Linked DNA regions of Drosophila melanogaster. The protein of the gene in region 2 interacts with the protein of the main gene of each other region in a pairwise test. Each region holds a gene or a part of one and is shown on either strand. Other genes may lie near its edges.

Region 1 (5,707 bases), on a different chromosome or scaffold from region 2:
TTTAAATTCCGATTTTGTTTCGGGTTTTATGATTGATTATATAGATTAGGTAGTTCGGAAAATGTTTTCTTCTATTTAATTTGAATTTATCAACATGCTGAATAATTTTTCTTGTATTCTCTTACAATGCATTATTTTCGGAGTTCTATATTTCAGTGAAAGTTGTACCTGAAAAATTCTTAGTCTTGTAACCATGTAGCTCGGTGGGGTATCATTTTCGATCATAGTTCGCAACTAGTATAACTAGTTTTGCTGTCACTGTAAAGTGCTGGCGATTAACTTTTAATAGAACTACAATAGCATGGGAATTGCTGCTAATTACCGTAAAATTGCTGAAACAAAAAGCTTGCCAAAGCTCAATTGGATTTCGTTCTGGTAGTAAGGTCTTGAAAAATGCATTTTCAAAATTGAAACAGAAAATACGGATTAATCAAAACATTGAAGCGATAAGAAGGTCTAAATATAGTTTCAATGCGCACCTGTGTCTGCGTTGAATCATATCAAAAGTTGCCTTCAAACTGATAAGCTGGGCTTTTGATAATAAATAATCGTATATGTACTTCTGCTTGCTACCAGCCGAAATTATTCTAAAAACATATATTTATTTTAATGGTTAGGTTTTGAAATTAATAAAGCAGTTGATGTTAAGTTAAGATAAATAGGTTCAACATGTGGCATAAACACTCTATAGAGAACTAATTTAAAAATTAAAAATAGATTTGTTCAGCTGTAACAACTTATTTTGCATGTTTTCAAATTGACCATAGAACACAGGAAGTGTTATTGTTTTAGTCAGGAACAAAGTATATATTACTTAGATATATATTTTTAGTCAGAATTGACACCCAACTAAATCTTACCGTGTCTGTTTATTTCCACGTAATCGTATTTACTTAAACTATTAAACCTATTGCAGGTATTAGATAAGGCAATAACAGGCCGGGTCGGAAATGTAATTACTAATCTAATTTTATATAAACTATATAATTTAGCTGAACTAGGAGCGAGCGGAATGGGATTTGCAGTTTAACGTTCGTAAAAAATACAGGAAAAATAAATAGAAATAAAATACATTTTATTAAAACAGGACGACTGTAGTCGTCCAAGCTAGTGGTAGCTAAGTTACTATAGGTGAAGGGTATATAAAATTCGGCTTACTTTTTATGTTGCTCTAAGCTTTTAATTGCACTTAAAAAGTACAGTACTTGTAATATATTAAAAAATATATTCCATGCATTACAAATCCACTTTTATATCTGAAAAGCGTTGCAACACAACCTTACAACCTAATAATTCCCATGAAGTCCATAAGATTATTCATGATTTGAGGAAGTGATTTCCCCGGCGATATGTTTTCCATTATCCACTTGATTACCATCGGAAAATTGGCGACCCGTTGGCCCCGATTCCGCGAATTAGCTCCGATCTTGGGCCCCGAAGGTTAGGCAGCAAATTTGGGGTAATGGCAATGCGAGCACAATGAGTCCGAGTCCATTGGGCGGCTGCCCACTGTCCACTGGCCACCCACCGGCACAGAGCATGCATGCAGATACAGACATTATGCTCCACTCAATCAAGCTGGAAGGGATGGGGCTCGAGTGCAGCTGGCAGCGGAGAACGCAGACGGTCTCCACTTCAGAGATGGAACCGAGAGGCCCGGCGGACGTGGTGGACGTGGGCGGATACACAGGGATGGGAACAAGAATGAAAAGCCTATTTCCTAAGTGTAATTAATTAATTTCGCTGGCTGGGCCCGACTGCGCCCAACTGCAAACTGCAGCCGCATTTGCCTGCCATCCGTCATCCATTTCCGAATCAGAATCAGTTTGTCCAGCGCTCTGCCGTCGCGAGCACGCTCCAAAGAGGCCAATCGGAAGAACTTTGGAACTTTCTTGAGTTGCGACACGTACATTTTCAAGCTGGACCACATTTTCGAGGACTGTCAGCGGCAGCAGTTTCACAAAATGTCTCATGGCGAGCGAAAAGGCCGCCTCAATGTGGTCAAGTTTCTCGAACTGGTAAAGGATTTTTTTTTCAAGTGATTTTACTGCAAGTTCTAAGGATTAATGAATTAATGCAAAAAGCAACGCGTATGCTTACTAAACAATGGTTTGTCAAAAAAAAAAAAAAAAAAAAAAAAAACGACTTGGGAATTAAAAGAAAAGACCCGAAATACCAGATAGACTCGGAAATTATAAGAACACCAAGAAGCACCACAAATGAAAATCCCCTCACTTTTCCAGGGTTTTGCGGTAGCGTGTCTGGTGCTCCACTTCTACAGCTTCAACGATCGCGATATAATGACTTCGTTCCTGGCCACTGGCACCTTCACGGGCTACATCATAGTGGTCATCGGGGTCTTTGCAGGTACGCCTTGGAATGCCAGTCCTTAAGAGTTAAAATACTAAAATAAGTTAACCAAAAACGAAATTTGCACACAAATCTACTTAAGATACCTTGCAATTGCAGGCGTTCTGATGCGGGCACCCATTCACAAGCGCATCGATATATTCTTCAGCGTCCTGGGCTGCACCTTGTTCGTGGCCAGCGGTGTGTTCATCATTGAGGCCTGGGAGTTCTCCTTCCGCACCCGAACTCGGGATCTCGCGCTCATCAAGGCCTCGCTGTCCATCGTCAATGGGGTGCTATTCGGATTCGATGCGGTGTTCACATTTCGCGACAAGTGAATCGTTCAGTTTTTAGACGGAAACCACTGGCCAGATCCGCTGGAGCTTCTTTCGTATGCATTTAATAGCTTATAAGGGTATACATATCTTTCCGGTTCAACTGGCCATTCCGCCAATCATACAAACAACCAAACTGTTAACGTTTATCTTTATATTTAAGTGTTTTTTTTTTCTCTCAATAAAAAGTAATTCGCCATCGCTCAATTAGTCATATGAGAAAGCAAGAGTCGATACTTGCGACTGTGTGTGGTGCAGTCCCGGTACTCAAGTAATTGTTTACAGAGCGAGACACTCGACACAATACATTTGCAATACGGCTATCTAAAATAATCCTCATAATTAAAGTACAAATAATTCAATTGGAAATATAAACGGTCTAGAAAATCACTCTAAACTTATGTAGGCGATGATCCCGGCCTGCTGTTCCTGCTCATTTCACGGGAATTCGAAATACGAGCTTGTAGCACGGCACATACCACCAAATTCGATAGTCCTAGCTAAATTAGATCGCGAGATCCAGGTGTTCGCAGAACATATAATTCTAGGGTTCCGTGGATCGTAAAGCGAGAGTACCGGCAACAATGGGACACAAATGAAGGTGAGCTGGCGGCCCATTTTGTTGACATCGTAATAGTAGTTAGCGTTATTTTCTTATTTTTTTATTGTTTTTTTTTTTTTTTTCTTTTTCTAACTTTTGTATTTGCTGATAATCGTGAGACCGCTGGCTGGCTTTGTTATATTTTTTTTTTCTGAGTTCCACTGCCGAGCTTGTTGTTATCATCTGGCGCTGGGCATCTTTGGATGTCGATTATGTGTGGTGCTGAGTGGTGTGCATACGTAGGTAAGTGGAGTGCTCCTAGGCAGAGTTGTGGATGTTGAGACGGAAGATGTCGTGGGCCACAAAGAAGGTGCCTGCGTTGGCCTTCAGGAAAAAGACCTGCGAGAAGGCATGTGGGGGATCGTCATCGCACTGCAAAGGAATGAAATCATAAATACGTTAGCAGATGCCAGGCAAACCAGTCACATTTAAAGTCAATAACACAAGCGTGCGAAAAACCAATTTCAACGTATTGAGTTAGATATGAATGGAGTACACACAGTTTGAAGCCAGGGTCAGAGGGAAAGGGTGTACAACTGGCAGCCGATTGATCGTGTAAGGTGCGTGTTTACTGTACAGGGCTCGCTCGATAAATTGAACATAACTCCAAAACATTTTCACGAGCAGAATAAACTTTATACCAAATGTGCGAGCAAAATTATTATTCACTGATATAAGAACTTCTCAAAACTTTCCTCAGTTCCATTCAAAATTGAACAACATTTGAAAGTTTTTTTTTTAAGGCATATTAGGGTGCGCTTAACAATTTGGGATATTTACAGTTCTCTTCTTCGAGCTATTGAACAAAACAATATGCAAGTTAAGACTAGTCAATTGGTATTTGGTTTTGTAACAAATGAAAAACAGAATTTTTATAAGTGCAATATCAATTGAAAGCATCTAAAAATATAATATAAATATAAACCGTTTAGTTAAAAATGTAAAGCAATAGAGGTTACAGAAATTGTTTGTGTTACATTAAAATTGCATTATTAGGAGGTTCCAGGTCCCCAGCGACCAACCGAAAGAAAGAGCAAATCCAACTCAAAATCAACGAAAACCATGCACGAAATGAAATGCGCAACATTTTGATTTGATTAATTTTCGTTGGACATTCACGTACTGTGAGAATAATTAGAAGAAATTGGACGACGACGAGACGCCAAGGATAAATATTTTTGTATATGTGGGCGGAGTGGGCATGGCTGGGCGGCATAAGGTCGACAAGCAGCAGAACTATCTTATCGCTTAGATATGGATTTCTTTCGTTTTTTAACTGGCTCTCGTCTCGTGTCTGCTGGCTGATCGTTTGGCTGCTGATCTCGATCTCGATTTACACACATATAGCCGGGCGCTGGAGTCTGTGGACTGGGCGTGGCAGGTCGGGCTCGCTGGTGCTACACATCGTGCAGCGAGAGTCGGAATATATCGTGCTGCACAAAGAAACTGCCGCCCACCGGCTTCAATACGAAGGTCTGAATATAGGCATGCGGCTGATCCTCGTCGGTCTGCATTGGTTTGTTTTGGCATTTGTGTTTCGTTTTGTAATAACCAGAATTGAGATATTCGATTCAGATTCAGGTGACTTATATGGAATAATAGATGCAGCGGCGGTCGGCAAATAGCACTGCCCTTACGACTTTACGGAAGAATGATGAATGATTTCATATCTTAAGTGATGGGCGATTGAAATTTGCTTCTACGTCTCTACATATATCCACTTTGAACAATAAGGTATCGTAAAATACATTGAGGCAGTTACTCTTTTTAAAATTCATTTCATTTATCTACCTACTATAACTGCATCAATAAGTCAATGGATATTATATTCAAAACAAGAGAGAATGCTATGGTCGACTTTTCCGACTGGAAGTGAGAACGCGAAATTTCATATTGAACAATATGAGTGGGCGTGGCAACATGGATCAACAAACTTGCGCTGCGTCGGTGTCTCTAGGATCGGTCTGCTTAATATCAACCTTCTAGCTTTTATAGTTCCTGAGATCTCGACGTTCATATGGAGAGGGCCAGATCGACTCGGCTATTGATCCTGATCAAGAATATATATACTACATTTTGTCGAAAACGATTGCTTCTACATGTTACATACTTTTTAACGAATATAGTATACTCTTTAACTGCACTAGTAACGGGTATAATGTATCTTAGAATGAAGAACACTTAATGGAATAAAGTGGCAGGCTTAATAAAGCCCATACATGATAACAAATAAATGGGAAACAGTGCAAAATAAATAATGTTCTTATGTGAAAGCCAAAACAAAACGTTCTATTTGTTACAAAAACGATTGTCAAGCATTTACGTGTTGAAAAGACCAAAAATAAAATTCAAAACTTGAAAAGAAAATCGATTGAATTGGTCGGCAGTGCTAATATTCTAACCGCCGCCGCAGGCAGTCATT
Region 2 (8,569 bases):
CGAAAACAGACGGCTCGTGAGGAACTGGAAGCTCGGCGGGAGTTGCTCCGCGAGCGAAACGAGCACAGTGATGCACTTAGTCCAACAACAGTGGCTGCAAGTGTAACCGCAGGTCTGAACATTCATGTGAAGAGGAAGTCCAAGCCGGATAACTATGAGAAGGAAATCAAACTCAAGAAGCGGCGGGAAGATGATATCGAGGTTATCCGAGATGATGACGATGAGGAAAGCGAGGAGAGCGACTCAAACGAGGAGGTTCCTGAGCAAGACAGCGAAGGAAGCGCAACAGAGTCTGGAAGCGAAGACAGCTATGCTAGCAAAAAGAAGAGCAAGATTAAATCCAAGTCTCAATTGGAAGACGATGACGAGGATTTACCCTTACCCGACAGTCCACTTAGCGTGGGTGAGCTATACAAGTCGCCCAAGCAACGTCAGCGATCTCGCTCTGTAAGCTCCAAGAGCAGCTCCCAGTCCAGTCGAAGCAGTCGGTCCAGATCCCGTTCTAGAAGTCAAAGCAGCCTAGAGGATGAGGTAGATCGTCAAGACGTGGGGGCAGATGCCTCACCCAGCAGCAGCACACGCAGCGAGGAACGTGGAATGACCCAAGAGCAGCCGGAAGAGAAGCCCGAGGAGAAACTCAAAGAGAAACAGAAGTCTCTGGAGGAGCAAATTCCGTGCGATGACAAGGGCATTCCCCTGCCCAACTATTATCCCGGTGTGCAGGGCTGCCGGTCTGTGGAGGAATTCCAGTGTCTAAACCGCATCGAAGAGGGAACCTATGGAGTGGTATATCGAGCCAAGGACAAAAGAACCAATGAGATTGTGGCTCTTAAGCGTCTGAAAATGGAGAAGGAAAAGGAGGGATTTCCGATAACATCACTCAGGGAGATCAACACTCTTCTCAAGGGTCAGCACCCGAATATTGTGACCGTTCGCGAGATCGTGGTCGGATCCAACATGGATAAGATATTTATTGTGATGGACTATGTAGAACACGACCTGAAATCCCTGATGGAAACGATGAAAAATCGTAAGCAGAGCTTTTTCCCCGGAGAAGTCAAATGTCTGACGCAGCAGCTTCTGCGGGCGGTGGCCCACCTCCATGACAATTGGATATTGCATCGTGACCTGAAGACCTCCAATCTCCTCTTGTCCCACAAGGGCATTCTCAAGGTGGGTGATTTCGGATTGGCAAGGGAGTATGGATCGCCGATCAAGAAGTATACCTCACTTGTTGTCACTCTCTGGTATCGTGCACCCGAGCTCCTTCTCTGCTCGCCGGTTTACTCCACGCCCATAGACGTCTGGTCGGTAGGCTGCATTTTCGCCGAATTCTTGCAGATGCTGCCGCTCTTTCCGGGAAAATCTGAAATCGATGAGCTTAACAGGATCTTTAAGGTAAGCTGTGGTTGAGCATTAAAGTTTAGTTATTAAAATAAGCTTGTTGAACAATTGTTAGTATTAACTTTGAAATTCATTTGCCGAGAATGCTTATTGACTTTTGATTTATTGTTCTAGGAATTGGGAACTCCGAACGAGAAGATCTGGCCAGGATACACCGAGCTCCCAGCCGTGAAGAACATGTTGTCGCAGAACTCTCAGTTTACCGAGTATCCCGTCTCGCAACTGCGCAAGCACTTCCAGGAGAAGACCTCTGAAATGGGCTTGTCGCTGCTGCAGGGTCTGCTGACGTACGATCCGAAACAAAGACTGAGCGCCGACGCGGCACTAAAGCACGGCTTCTTCAAGGAGCTGCCATTGCCCATCGATCCATCCATGTTTCCCACCTGGCCGGCCAAGAGCGAGTTGGGAGCCCGCAAGGCGCAAGCCTCTTCCCCCAAACCGCCATCCGGTGGCTCGCAGTTCAAGCAACTAGGCCGCGACGAGCCCATCATCGTGGGACCGGGAAACAAGCTCTCATCTGGGATTATCACTGGCAACAAGAAGAGCCACGGAGCTGGTGGATCGTCGGCTAGCACGGGATTTGTCCTGAACGCTGGAATAACGCAGCGCCAGTTGGCCATGGGACCGGGATTCAGTCTGAAGTTCTGATTCTGTGTGTTTTAGCCCATTACGATTACGATTAATTGTTATGTATAGTTAGCGATGTAAGTGGAAAATTTCGTTTAATTGTATGTGTATAAATATTGTTCCATATATAATTTAAAAAGCCATACAAAGCAATTGGGATGTATAATCATTTTTCACCTCAAGAGCGGCAATGCCATGTGGGTGGGTCAATTCAAGGAATATGAAAGTTGGCTATAAACATATCGAAAATTACTCCATCGTTTTATTGTGCAAACAACTTTTCAAGGACCAAAACTCAACCCACCCTCAACACTCCGAATGCGTCCACACCTGTAACTTTAAAACTTAGCCTAGGGGAATACTAACGCTCTACCTGAAATGCCTAAGTGGACCACAGATAGAAGTAAGTGCTTTGCCACGTGGGAATGTAATCTTTAAGGGGTTTGGCAACCACCTTAGCAATGGGCACACTTGTGGCCACAAAGTCGAGGATCCGCTCCAGTCTGGATTTGGTGAAGCTGTCATAGAACGGCGATCGGACCAGGAAGTACATGATGTTTATGCATCGCCTGCTCAGCTCCAGTTTTTGTTGCTTGGACATTAGGTCGCGATGCTGGCGGTAGAGGTGAATGCTATACAAATCAATGGATAATGCTACCATATATTGCTTCCAACTTCTCCGGCCGAACAGCCCCATGGCGACCAGGTGGATTAGTGGCTTCGATATATACAGGTATTCTGCTTGCAGGAGTTTCCTCGGAATTTGCGTCTTCGCCGCTTCATTGTTGTCTATATGAAGCTTGAAGTCGCGGTATTGCAGGGGAGGAGCACCCTCCACTTTACGAATCACACGGCCAGATCGCTTCAATTGGAAGGTAATGGAGTGCTGGGACTGCAATAAATCGTTCGTGGAGGAGGCCACACCATCCCCCGAATTCTTCCTCTGTTTGGCCCTTCGATTCAGTGCGGCGATGGGCGGTGAGGTGATTATATCCGAGGTTGAGTGTTTCAAGATAAAGAAACGGCCCGCTGCCTTGAAGGCCTGTATTAGCGCTATCACCAGCCACTTGCCGGATTGACCGAAAAGCCGACGGGCTGATATCTCGATGAAAACCTCGCTATATTCGAGCGTCGTCAACGTGACCTTTAGACGGTAGCAAAGTTTCGATTGCAGGTGGATCACCGAATTCTCCTCGGAATTGCGTGCCTTTTCGATGATCCGGTCGTTGTAGAACACCAGCATGTTTGACAGTGTATATACCAGCTCACTGACCACATTTGATGAGGAAATGCGACCTGGAAGCCGGCCAATGAGATGAGTCTGTAGGCTCTATGTAAGCAAGGAGTTCACTTTACCTGCTATAAAGTAGGATACCCACTTGGCTGTGGTCTCAAAATCCCCCACCACGTCGGGGTTTTTGCCCACCCACGCCTCGTACGCCTTCAGCATGCCCTTCAGAGTGTCCATTATATCCGGAAAATATTGTCTGTTCCTCCAAATAATAAAAATAATGAGGTGTTTCGGTCTACAGGTAATCAAATCGGTGCAGTTGTGGTGTTCTGGCGTTTTGAACAAGGCGTTAGTGCTTTCATGCAACACAAAATAGAAGGTGACGCAAAATGAATACATATATGAATGCAAGCACGGAGAGCGTTGATTAAACGCTTTGGATTAATAAAATTGGTACAAAAATAAATACCAAATACCAGTGTCACGAGCTTATCGCCATTACACTTTCAAATTTTACCACATTGGTGCTTACACGTCATAGAAAAAGAAACTAATAATTAAGGACCCACAATTTGTAAGAACCACATTTGGCATATCTGCCACCAACCTTTCATAGCCCCTTTTAATGTTCTTCAATGTAAAGATTTGCTTGTTTAGTCTCGGCATCTTAATTCAAGTTTCCTGATTCTTTATACTGCAGTATATTTTTATTGGGTATATTATGCATTTAAAATTTTAGCCCAGGTACTATGTTCTTTATAATAGAAACATTTCTTACCAAATTTTTCGGTAAAAACATTTTTCCAAGTTCAAATCTTTATTACGTTACAAATTACCTTAACGTTATACATAATAACCCTAGAAACGCTAATGCATTAGTAATTTCGAGAGCAGCAAAGTCTTTGGTCACACTTTTGTTTTTGTGCACTTTGTAATCGAATTGCTCGTGAATTCGGATTCACTCCGTTTTCGTGTGTATTAGCTAGGCAAGATTGAATTAAGAGTCGATATACAGATGTCCAGCAACAACACGGACACTGGGGACACCACCGTCATGGCGACGGCTACCTCGGTGCAGAACGATGTCGAGGCCGGCGTAGATGAGCAATTGCCTCGAGAATCGCTGGTAATATTTGTTCAACCCCTTCAAGTTTGCCTAATCTATAATCCGACTATTCGCCGCAGATAACCACTGCAGTCAGTTTTCTACAAAACACCAAGGTGCGCCACACGACACTTATCCAGAAGCAGCAGTTCCTACGGTCCAAAGGTCTCACCGCTCACGAAATTCAGCTGGCCTGTGAACGGGCCGGCGTTTTCACCCAAGACCCCAACAAGCCCAATCCGAATCCGAACACCGTCATTAGCATTGGATCCCAATTGCACGCGCTGCAGCCGCAGCCGACTGTCTTGGGCCGGATCAGGGAAATCATCCATTCGGCAGCCCTGTTCAGCGGAGTCGTCTACGCAGTCTACATCTTCTGGAAGGTGAGATGCAGTGGGATCTCTATTTCGGGGTCTTTTAAAAAGATTTATTATATTTACTCCACCAACTCGAGTGCGAATTTAAAGATCGCCATCTTGTCTAAGGCTTAGATACATTACACATATATTTGATGACACTTTTACCAGACGACGTTGAATTTACTTAGTATTTAACACATTTTGTAAAAGTGTTAGGACGCATAAATAAGTTTTAAGTGGTCCACCAGTCCAAAGTCCATGATTGCTAATAACTTCTAAAACCCGTATAATTTCAGCAATACATTGCGCCCTACCTGTTCGGCAAGTCCAAGAAGAAGGCGGTCGATGAAGTCCTGGACGACATAGACAAGAAGGTAGAGACCCGCACCAACGACCTCAACAAGGAGATTTTGGCGGTCAGGGATCTGATCACCACACAGCAAAGGGAACACGCCCAGCAGCTGAACCGCGAATTTAGTAACTTCCGTAGCGATCTGGATGCCATTAAGGGCCTGCTTTTGAACCGAAAACAGTTCGCCGGCCCTGTGGCTCCGATCGCAGTGCCATCCATTCCCGCCTGGCAATTGGCCGGCTCACCGCATCACCATCACCGGCACAGCGGGTCGGACGACAACGAGAAGGGCGATGATGCTGGATCCGGGTCTGGCTCGTCGGAGACAGAGGTGGTCACCAAGAATAGTGACTCCAGCTTGGAGATCATGTAATGCAATCAGAATACGAGGCTGGCTATATAGACGTAGTATATAGTTACGCTGTAAATTGAGTTTCCCCGTTAAATGCCTTCAAGACTTTTGGTTTTTTTTCTTTGCGTTTATAGCATTTAAGGTTTCTTTATAGTCAACAGCTAATCCATATCCAAAAGTACATACACACACTCACATATACACACTTATGCGATACGATGTCTATACAATGTAATAATAAAAAGTTTACATAATAACAGGTTTGAATTGAAAGAAACTGTTTAATTAAGCGCAAAAATGCTTTGTGTAGTTTTTTGTTTATCGGTACATACGGGGTGGGGATAGCATATCGGTTTAGACAATAAATTTCGACTTAGACGATAATTGGATTCTAAAAATTTTGCCGAGTGCTACTTTCTATAAATTGGCTAAATTCCCTTAGGTTTGATTTAAGATTATGCCGGGCGGAGCACCTCGAGGTTTTGCCTACAAGCTCCTTGAAGACTCCACCCAGATCCTTAACGGATTTAAATTATTTATTTATTGTGCGGTGCCTAGTTATGGTTTTGTTTCAATTACAAATTTGGTTCTCTGCGCATTCCCTTCATTAAATTTCCTTCACTACTTACGTTAGTTATCGATTTGTACATACGATAATTTAGTATTCAAATAATTGTTTGCCATTTTCGTAAAAGTTAATGTATTCTAGTAAGTTAATATTCTCACAAACGATTGTTAAGGGCTTCACAGTTCACATGAATGTGTTCTTTATTTCTCACTTCGTTTTGTGAATGGACAAACCATTGCGAAATACCCTGAAACAAGGATAGAGAACAGTACCCCTACCCATACTATGTATGCATTATTAGAGTCTTTTGTTGGGTAGCTTGGCCCTTGTTTGTTGGGTACAATCGTATAAGATAAACAGCGGCCAGGCCGGCATTTTTATCAGCTATTTCAAATTAAATATAACATATTTACAATTAATTATACCTTGCGATGGGGGCAATACCAGCTGCCAAAGGCCGAGCACTGTGTACGTTTGAAAATTAAAGCTTTGACAAGAAGTACAAAAATGTGTACGTTTGAAAATTAAAGCTTTGACAAGAAGTACAAAAATGTGTAACAAAATATTTAGTGTTTTAAAGCCTGTTGTTTGACCCAAACGTAATTTACCATTCGGACAGGCATCATTTGATTAACACCGAGCGATGTGTAACGTTACAAATTAAGTTTTTAAAATAAGAAATTACAAAATATTGCGTAATATGTATATGCGTTTTCCTGGTTCCAACGATACATTTTGAAAACGGAATTGGATAGTTGTACTTTTTCGGAAAAACAGAAGTTGCCATCCCTTTGGCTTCCGCGTTTGTTTAAATTAAAGCGATTATCATCCGATTACACAAAACTAAACCTCAGAACTGGGAGCATGGCCGCTAGTGTGGCTTCAGGCCCAATTGGTTTTTTCTTCCTCAAATGTAACCCTAATTTATGCTAACAGAAAGTGCACAGATAGTATGGACAAAATAGAACCATGTGTGGATAGCAAGATCCCAAAAAGAATCAAATCTAGACGGCTGAGTTGATGACCGCTTGCGTGGATGCGGAACTACTGATGCTATTGGCCTGGCCAAATGCAGATCCCGCTCCAGCAGCCGATGTGGTAGTCGTTGCCGTAATGCTCACCGCTGCCGCTGTGGCAGATGTCACTCCATCCGGATAGCCGCCCGAAGCAGGAGCCGGTGAAAGAGACATCGTCGACGAGGAGGGCGAAGAGCAATCGCTTTGCACACTCATTGTGGGCGAGGCGGCCACCAAATTGCTGCTACTGCTGGTGTTGCTGATGGTCATCGGAAACTGTGGCGGCGGATTCCCGGTGGGCGTGTGCGGGGACAGTGGCGACATTGAGGACGATGTTGTGGTCAGCGACGGGCTGCTGCTTGTGCTCGTTGTAGTGGCTGTGGATGAGCTGTTGCTATTGACTCCACTGATCGTACAGGAGTTGGTTGTTGGAGCCGTGGATGCGGCGGATGGGGGCGTCGATGGCGATTGCTGGCTGGAGGTTACCCCAGCTGCTGCCGCCGCAGCTGCAGCCCGCTCACGCTCCCGATCTCGTTGTGGCCTGAAGGCCTCACGCAGTGCCTCCACGCGAATTTCATTGGGTCCCCATCGCGCGTATCCGGCGCTATTTTGCAACCACACCACCTGTGTGCCCTGCATGCACTTGATCAGCACATCAGACCTGGAAATTAACGGAGTTAAATAAGTATGAATGGGAAAAGCATAAGTTTAACTAACTTACTTTTGCAACATGTGCTGATAGCCGTGTCTGTACTCGTGGGCCATGCCCAATACCACCATTGAACGGCGCTTGTACATGCTGTCGTCCAGCTTGGATATGCTCTTCCACTCCGGCAGAAACACAATAAAGCTGAGTAAAACAAGAACAAATTGTATTATACTCATAAGCAACATCAAACCGATGTTTAATCTCACCTCAGAGGCTCCATGGTGTCCGTGAGCAGTTTGTCGATGTGCAGCAAAGAAGCCTCAATCAGCTCCTCGCAATGAGGAGGGTTTACTTGGAAGGAACCGGAAACGGGCTTGAAGTCGAGGAAGGGCCTGTAAAGGTCACACATTTCACTTAGATTCAGCTTATTAAAATTCACTATTTGGCTACATACCCCCTGGAACCGAAGTAGGCATCCGTGTCGGCAAACGCAGAGCAGTACTGTCGGAAATAGGAATTGAATGGCGAGGCGAAGCACTCGAAGCTTACACCAAACTGCCTATGTAGGCACTCGAACACTGGCACTGGCAAGGCAGCCTGGGTAAGCTCCGCCTCCTGGGAGGAATTCAGGGCATTGCCCAGGAAGGTCTGGTACCTCTTGAGCAGACACCATACCCGGCCAATGAACAGATCGAACTTCTTGTCGTCGAAACAGTTGTGGCGGTACAGCTGTTCCAGCTTCTGTAGATAGGTAAGGTTGATGTACTGAGCATCTGGCTGGTTGATCGTGGCGGGCGTGTACTTGATGATCATGTGGTCGCGATCCTGTAAGTACTCGATCGTCGGCATCCGAGGCGATGGGACGGCAAACTGTATGGGATAGCACCACACTTTCTTTAGATGTGG
Region 3 (6,196 bases), on a different chromosome or scaffold from region 2:
AGCCCAAAAAAAAAGAAAAACTGAATGAGAAAGCTCCCATCTGGCCCTCAAAAATCCCGCTTCCTATCCCAAATACACATTGATTCTTTAGAATTTATAAATAAAACAAGTATTGATTGTAAATATACCTTAAAGCGAGTCTTTTGTATTGTAAATTAGTTCCACTGATTGATTTGGTGGCCCTGCTTAGGTGCTTTGCCACCAAGTTCGTGTTATAAACATTAATACATAATATTGTAATTTACTATATGTGTTGGCAGCATTTGCTGTTAACCGCAAACGAAATGCAAGCGATTTACCGAATAATAGCAATTTGAATTATGTCTTCATGTGTAGATCGGCGAGTGTTTTCCTTACACTCATTTAGGAGTCGCTAGGTTTTTTGACATTCTTAATGCAATTTGTAATCAAATCGTAGGAGGCATTCGACTCACGGATACAAACACACAACATAACAAAACAATTAAATGGGATTTAACAAATTACCATAATGGCTTATGCAACGGTACAAGCAGAGTTTTATACAAATTATGTATTTTAGAGATGGATAAAGCGCATTGAATTGAATTCGAAACAATGAAATTGTATCTAAGCAAAGAATGTAATCCACAAAATGGCTAACTAAAGCTAAATCAAGCATTCAAATATGGGCGGACGAATATGAACAAAACACATAACTAGCGGCTAAGAAATTTCAACAAAATATAGTACACATATTTAAAGTATACAGAAAATTATAAAAAACAAAAACAGCTTTAGATGTGAATAAAAAATATGTAATTAAATCAAAACAGCACTTCTTTTGTTTGGGTCATATACGGGAACTTCTGATGGATTAATAATAAACGTTAATTTTGTTTAGGAATGAAGTCTTTTTTAATATCATTAGTTGCTAACGAATTAATCTAGTTATGTCTATGCACTGCCTAGGGGTATGATGAAGCTCATATAGTCCGCTGTGGCGCCCCAGGCTGTGCGATTTGTCTGGAATATTATTATCCAGGCAGTTAGTACTATCAGCCAGAATAGAGTCCCCACTGCAGAGTATATAACATCTGGAGGAAGGTAGGAAAGAAATTGTGGAATATTAGACTGTATGGCATGGGCATCTATTCATATATTGACTTACATCTCTTTATTTGGCTCTGCTCCGAAAATGGTGGCTTATGGAAGGCCTCCGTGAAAAACCAGCAAACGTTAATGGCCCACACAAAGGGCAGAAATGCAAAGCCAGCTAAGTTCGAGACAAATAGAAAGTAACTTGGTTAAAATCCAATCATTACTCATTGGTAGTAACTCTTACCAAAGAAGTATTTGCGACACAGCTCCAGTTTTCGCGGATTTGGTGCCTTTGAGATGTCCATGATTAATCCTCTTCAAATATGTGGGTGTTTGCTCCTTTGTTTTCGAATCTGTTTCCGGCCCAGGAAAGTTTTTTCGTACTTATATGTAAATTGTATGTAATATGTAAATTGTAATAGCTTATATTTTCACTTCAATTTTTGCTTTTGTTGATTTGTGTTTTAGTTTTTAGTCCATTGGAGCGCAATCGATATCGATAAGTTATCGAAACAGAGGTGAGCTAAACTGCGACTCTTGGATCACTGTTTCATTTGCCAATATCTAACGTAAATAACGATATAATAATATAGCATAGATGTTTTATTACGTTTGCACGATTTTGCGATGTGTGCGATGATTAGTATGAAACATCATTCCTTGTGTTCCCTTTTTTTAAAACGCCAAAACTGTTACAAGTCAAGCCCACTTCAGTGTTGTATATCCCCTAAAACAGAATCATCGATAGGTAATACTGCTGCCATCACTATTTTAGCACACACCGCGTAAAAGCGACGCCGATTTCAATTTTCAACGAATTATTAAAAGTGTGCGAAAAACCATACAATGGCCGATGTGGACGATTTTGATTCTCTGTCCAATGCTGAGTTGCGCGCCAAGATGCTGGCACAGGGGCTGCCCAACATCCCCGTGACGGATAGCAGCCGGAAGGTTCTAGTAAAGCGTCTGCGCGCCTCCATTGGTGGCCAGGCGTCGCCGGCCGCTAGTCCCAAGAAGACCAACAGGCGGGAGACCCTGGCTCCCGCACCTGGTGCACCATCTGCTCCGGCGGCAGCCTCCACGCCGGTGGACAAGCTGGATGGCAACAAGGTGGCGCCCGCCACAAAGGCTCGGCGCACAATTACCGCTGCAGAGGCCAAGGAACCAGTGCGTCGATTACCCGAGGAAGCTATACGCCGACGCCCCGACGAAGCCGACCGCCTACGATCCGAGGAGCCCGTTGCCGCCAGGAAGCCAACAACTGCTCCTGCTGCTCAACCCGTACAGACCCGGCGCACTTCCACCTCCTCGGGGTCTGAAAGGAAAGTAGTGGAGCCCTTGAGGAAGCCAGAAACCATTGTTGAGCAACCGGCTTCCTCGAAGCGCGCTGATCGAGAGGAGAATTATCTTAAGGTCAACTCCCTGATTGTCCTAGAGTCCGATGAAGAAGAGGACGAGCAGCTAGTCCAGGCTGCAGATCTGGTGGAGCAGGAGCACGCGGCCAGACAGAAGACCACGAAGCTCGCAAGCAGCGGCACCACTACGTACGAGTACAAAAGCAAGGTTGTGGAGCCTCCACGCCGACAGGTCTATGAAGCGACAGCAGCTCCCGTGCTGCCGCCATCTGTGCCATCTGCCAGAGCGCAGACCACCAGTTCCACCAGGTCCTATGACTATGCGAGCAACCCAGCACCCGGTCGCTATAGCAGTTTTGTGCGTACTGCAGCCCAAGGCTATGTGACTGCAGAGGCTCCGCCGGTGGCCTCCTACTCATCCAGCTACAAGCGTACCTATGCTAACGAGCTGAGCGACGACACTGATTCCAAGGAAGACCAGTACGAAAGCACATTTGCCAGGAATCTAGCTCGTTTGCGAGCCGAACGGATTGGAGATCGCATCAGCCCGTATTCCAGACGCACTCTGGCCAGTGGAAACGCGGGTAGCGGTTCTCTCGGCTATGAGCCGCGTGCCAGGCGCTCCTTGCGCCCGAATGATAACAGCGTATCCGAGGCCTTTAACCGTTGGTTGAACAGCCTGGAGCAGAAGTATCACATCAAGTCGAAGCTGTTCATTGTACTCCTCGTCCTTTTGTTAATCGGCGTTTATTACATATTCTACTGACCGGCGCATCATTGTTCTTATTTCGAATTTGTAATCTAGTTTGTATACCATGTTGGATATGTTTTGTAAACAAGACTGCCGCCGCGGTCTTTGTATGAATCTTGTTTTGATGTAACTTGAGCTTGAGTTTGACTAGCATTTAAGCTGCGTGTTATCCGTGTTCAAATAAAGCCCACTTGCAGGGAATCTCCACAGTTGAACACTTGCTCTGATGTTTTTTCTCCAAACGGCTTTCGATTCACTGCGCTCCACTTGTGGCAGGTGTTTGCCCAGATTGGATCAAGAAACAGCAGCAAACGACGATCGGCTAATGATGGAAAAGTATCTGGAATGCGTGTACAACACTTGTCGGCATGACTCTGACCAAATGTAGGCGCAATGGCAACCAGGCAAGCGCAGCTCTTATCTGAGCTAAATTGTTCCTGCTGCGATCTGATCTGCGATCCTTGCAATGCCTTGCAATCAGAATTAATAAGAATTTTACAAGTCGGCTCGGCGGCCGGTGTGCGTTATTTTAAAATCCTTGCCCGAGTTGGGCTGTTTAATTTTATTAACTGGAAATCGCACTTGCGCGTATTTCTTTATTTTCTTAAGGAAATTTCGCGCCATATTTAGCGGTAACAAGCGCGACCGGATCCGGGTCTGACTTGCATGCCAGCAATAAGTTATGAAAATTGCAACATCAGTGGCTCGGGGGAAATGCCAGTTGTGCTGGGGATGTTGCTGCCACGGCTGCCACGGCCGCCACGACCGCCAGTCGCCGCCGATGATGAATTCCACAAATGCATGGAACAGCCAGGCGGCAGATTCCTTGAAAAACAAAGCCATGGCCCATACAATATATCGTGTGGCTAATAAATACGCCGCGCATTGCTAGTTGCTCTTAATGAAATTAACTTCCAGGAATTACCTACATGGCAGCAACGATGCAGACGACAACCACGATCACTTTGACGACTGTCCCGAAGTGCAACAAAGCAACTGCAACAGTCGCAGCAACAGTCGCAGCAATTCGAAAAGGCAACAATGGCTGCTTAGGCAAATGCAACAAGCCATCGGCCATGGAAATTAAATGGAAGCCTGCAAAAAGTTTCACGCACTCGACACGTTAATAGAGTCGTAGCACCCAGAGCAACATCAGGTCCACCAGCTGCAGCAGCAGCAGCAGCAAAACCACCAGCACCAACACCCAACACCAGAACCCCGCAGGAACATCAGCGCCCAAGAGCAACACACCCGCGTCCCAGCAGCTTCCCATCTTCGGTTGCCGCCGCTCAAGTGTGACATTCATGGAATATGATTTTATGGCCAAAACCGAAACTTTTGTCTGCATCACGTTCGCGGCTGGAGGGAAAACAAGGAGTGGGCTAGTAAAACAGCCGGATGGTGGACTATGAAGGTGGCGGTGGTGACTCGACTGCCTGGCTGCTGGGCCAATGACTTCCTCGTTGTGAGCCAATTAAAGACGCTGGTCGTTGTGGTCGCTGCTGAAATCATTTGTAATGCAACGTTTGGAATAATTCACGCGCAAATTGCTTGCGACTCGCGAAAAATATTGCAACATTCCACTGCAAATTTTACGATTATGCGTTTGCACCACAACACAAACTGTTGCTGCTGCTGTTGGTCGCTAGTTGCTGTTGCTGCTGCTAGTTGCTGCTGCTGTTGCTAGTTGCTGTTGCAGCAACACATTCGCTCGTAGGCGCTCACATCACATCAAATCAAATGTAAGCGGTGCCGGGCATTCAACGCTGTCAGTTGCCAGTGCTCCAGATAGATAAATCAGTCGGCTAATTGTTCCAACCTGGCCGGTCTCCAAACTCAGCGCCTGGGAGCGTGAACTCTGCTCGGAAGGATGTGGGTACATTTCTTAGATGGGTTCTAAATTTCTAGAATTTGAATTCCTAATCGAATCATGTTTGCCTCTACACATAATTAATCGTAAGGGATGACATTTTTATGCAAAGACCCAGAGATCAAAGTTGAACATCGAAACATCGCATATGTGGAGAGATTGGACATTTTAATTCCATAAATAATGACAGTATGTCTCTAAACAGACAGTCAGTGTCTGCCCACTCTATAAGGCCGAAAGAAATCATTTATTTATTTATTTTTCAAACACGGTATGTTGGATATTACTGGGCATATTGGTTTTTGGAGATTTTTGATTTCCAGATGGGAAACGTAAGTATGAGGTATACATTTTTAAACTTATTTGAAGAAAAGTTGGTAAGATTTTGAAGGTTTTGCTGAAACACAAAACAAATTTAATTCATTCCCTTGAAGTTCGGGAGTAATATAATGATATACTTTCAGCCTGTATTGAATAATCCAAATCCAATTGTTAGGTATCAAGTGTCTCGAGTTGTTTGGAACTAAAGTTCTGACTGGCTCCATGTCCGATCATCTCTGTGGCGGCGGCAGTGTCTTTTGGGCTGACTACTCGTTGTCAAGTTGTGGACCACAGCGACCAATCAGTGTCAGCTGGAAGTGGCTTTTTTAGTGGCCCAAAGTGATGAGCTAATCAACCTGACCTGACCAGTCCAGTCCCACAGTTGCGGCCAGATCGGTGTGGTGTGCCTATTTTAATAACATTATTTATGTATCTTGCTTGTATTTCGGTTTATTTTCGTATGTTTTGTGTATTGTTTTGTTTGATTTAACAGGAATTGGAATTAGAAATAGAAATGAGGCGAAACAAAGTGGGCAACGAGCTGGGGTTTCCTCCATTTTGTTTGTTTTTTAGGTGTCAATCGCATTAGACGGAAATCAGTTTTGTTTTTTATTGTACAAATTTATCGCATTTCGAGGCTCATTTGGATTTGGTTACCATTTTCAGTGCCAAAGACTGTGCTGTCTCCCTGCTGCCCGGCTGCTCGGTTTTTATGGAAAATTAAACATTTTAAACTGGCCACGAGATAATTTGTGGTATATGCGATATCTGGTGGGTTGGCGGAGGACAGTGTGTGTTTGTGTGTGGTCTCCGTGAGTCGAGCAGGCATCAAATAAATTA

Evidence for each region.
Region 1: the proteins of Pex14 (region 2) and CG15449 interact in a two-hybrid assay, tested with the Drosophila melanogaster proteins (one large-scale study listed by BioGRID).
Region 3: the proteins of Pex14 (region 2) and Ote interact in a two-hybrid assay, tested with the Drosophila melanogaster proteins (one large-scale study listed by BioGRID).

The regions. Positions count from the first base shown.
Region 1 is NC_004354.4:21,036,696-21,042,402, reverse strand, and holds CG15449 (uncharacterized protein), read left to right. Parts: upstream 1-1,797; 5' UTR 1,798-1,964; coding exon 1,965-2,018; exon of another isoform or gene 2,019-2,243; coding exon 2,244-2,367; exon of another isoform or gene 2,368-2,388; intron 2,389-2,456; exon of another isoform or gene 2,457-2,469; coding exon 2,470-2,687; 3' UTR 2,688-2,889; downstream 2,890-5,707. Other genes in the region: Ntf-2 (nuclear transport factor-2), read right to left, coding at 3,544-3,657.
Region 2 is NT_037436.4:20,774,656-20,783,224, forward strand, and holds Pex14 (peroxin 14), read left to right. Parts: upstream 1-4,143; 5' UTR 4,144-4,277; coding exon 4,278-4,388; intron 4,389-4,447; coding exon 4,448-4,750; intron 4,751-5,022; coding exon 5,023-5,451; 3' UTR 5,452-5,723; downstream 5,724-8,569. Other genes in the region: pitslre, read left to right, coding at 1-1,398, 1,519-2,052; Pex16 (peroxin 16), read right to left, coding at 2,414-3,327, 3,388-3,499; Pcif1 (phosphorylated CTD-interacting factor 1), read right to left, coding at 7,003-7,675, 7,736-7,864, 7,930-8,055, 8,118-8,569.
Region 3 is NT_033778.4:18,272,789-18,278,984, reverse strand, and holds Ote (otefin), read left to right. Parts: upstream 1-1,807; 5' UTR 1,808-1,905; coding exon 1,906-3,180; 3' UTR 3,181-3,378; downstream 3,379-6,196. Other genes in the region: pen-2 (presenilin enhancer), read right to left, coding at 916-1,055, 1,130-1,234, 1,304-1,364. UniProt on the Drosophila melanogaster protein: Inner nuclear membrane protein. Involved in the attachment of membrane vesicles to chromatin during nuclear assembly, and is probably required for centrosome maturation and cell cycle progression during mitosis.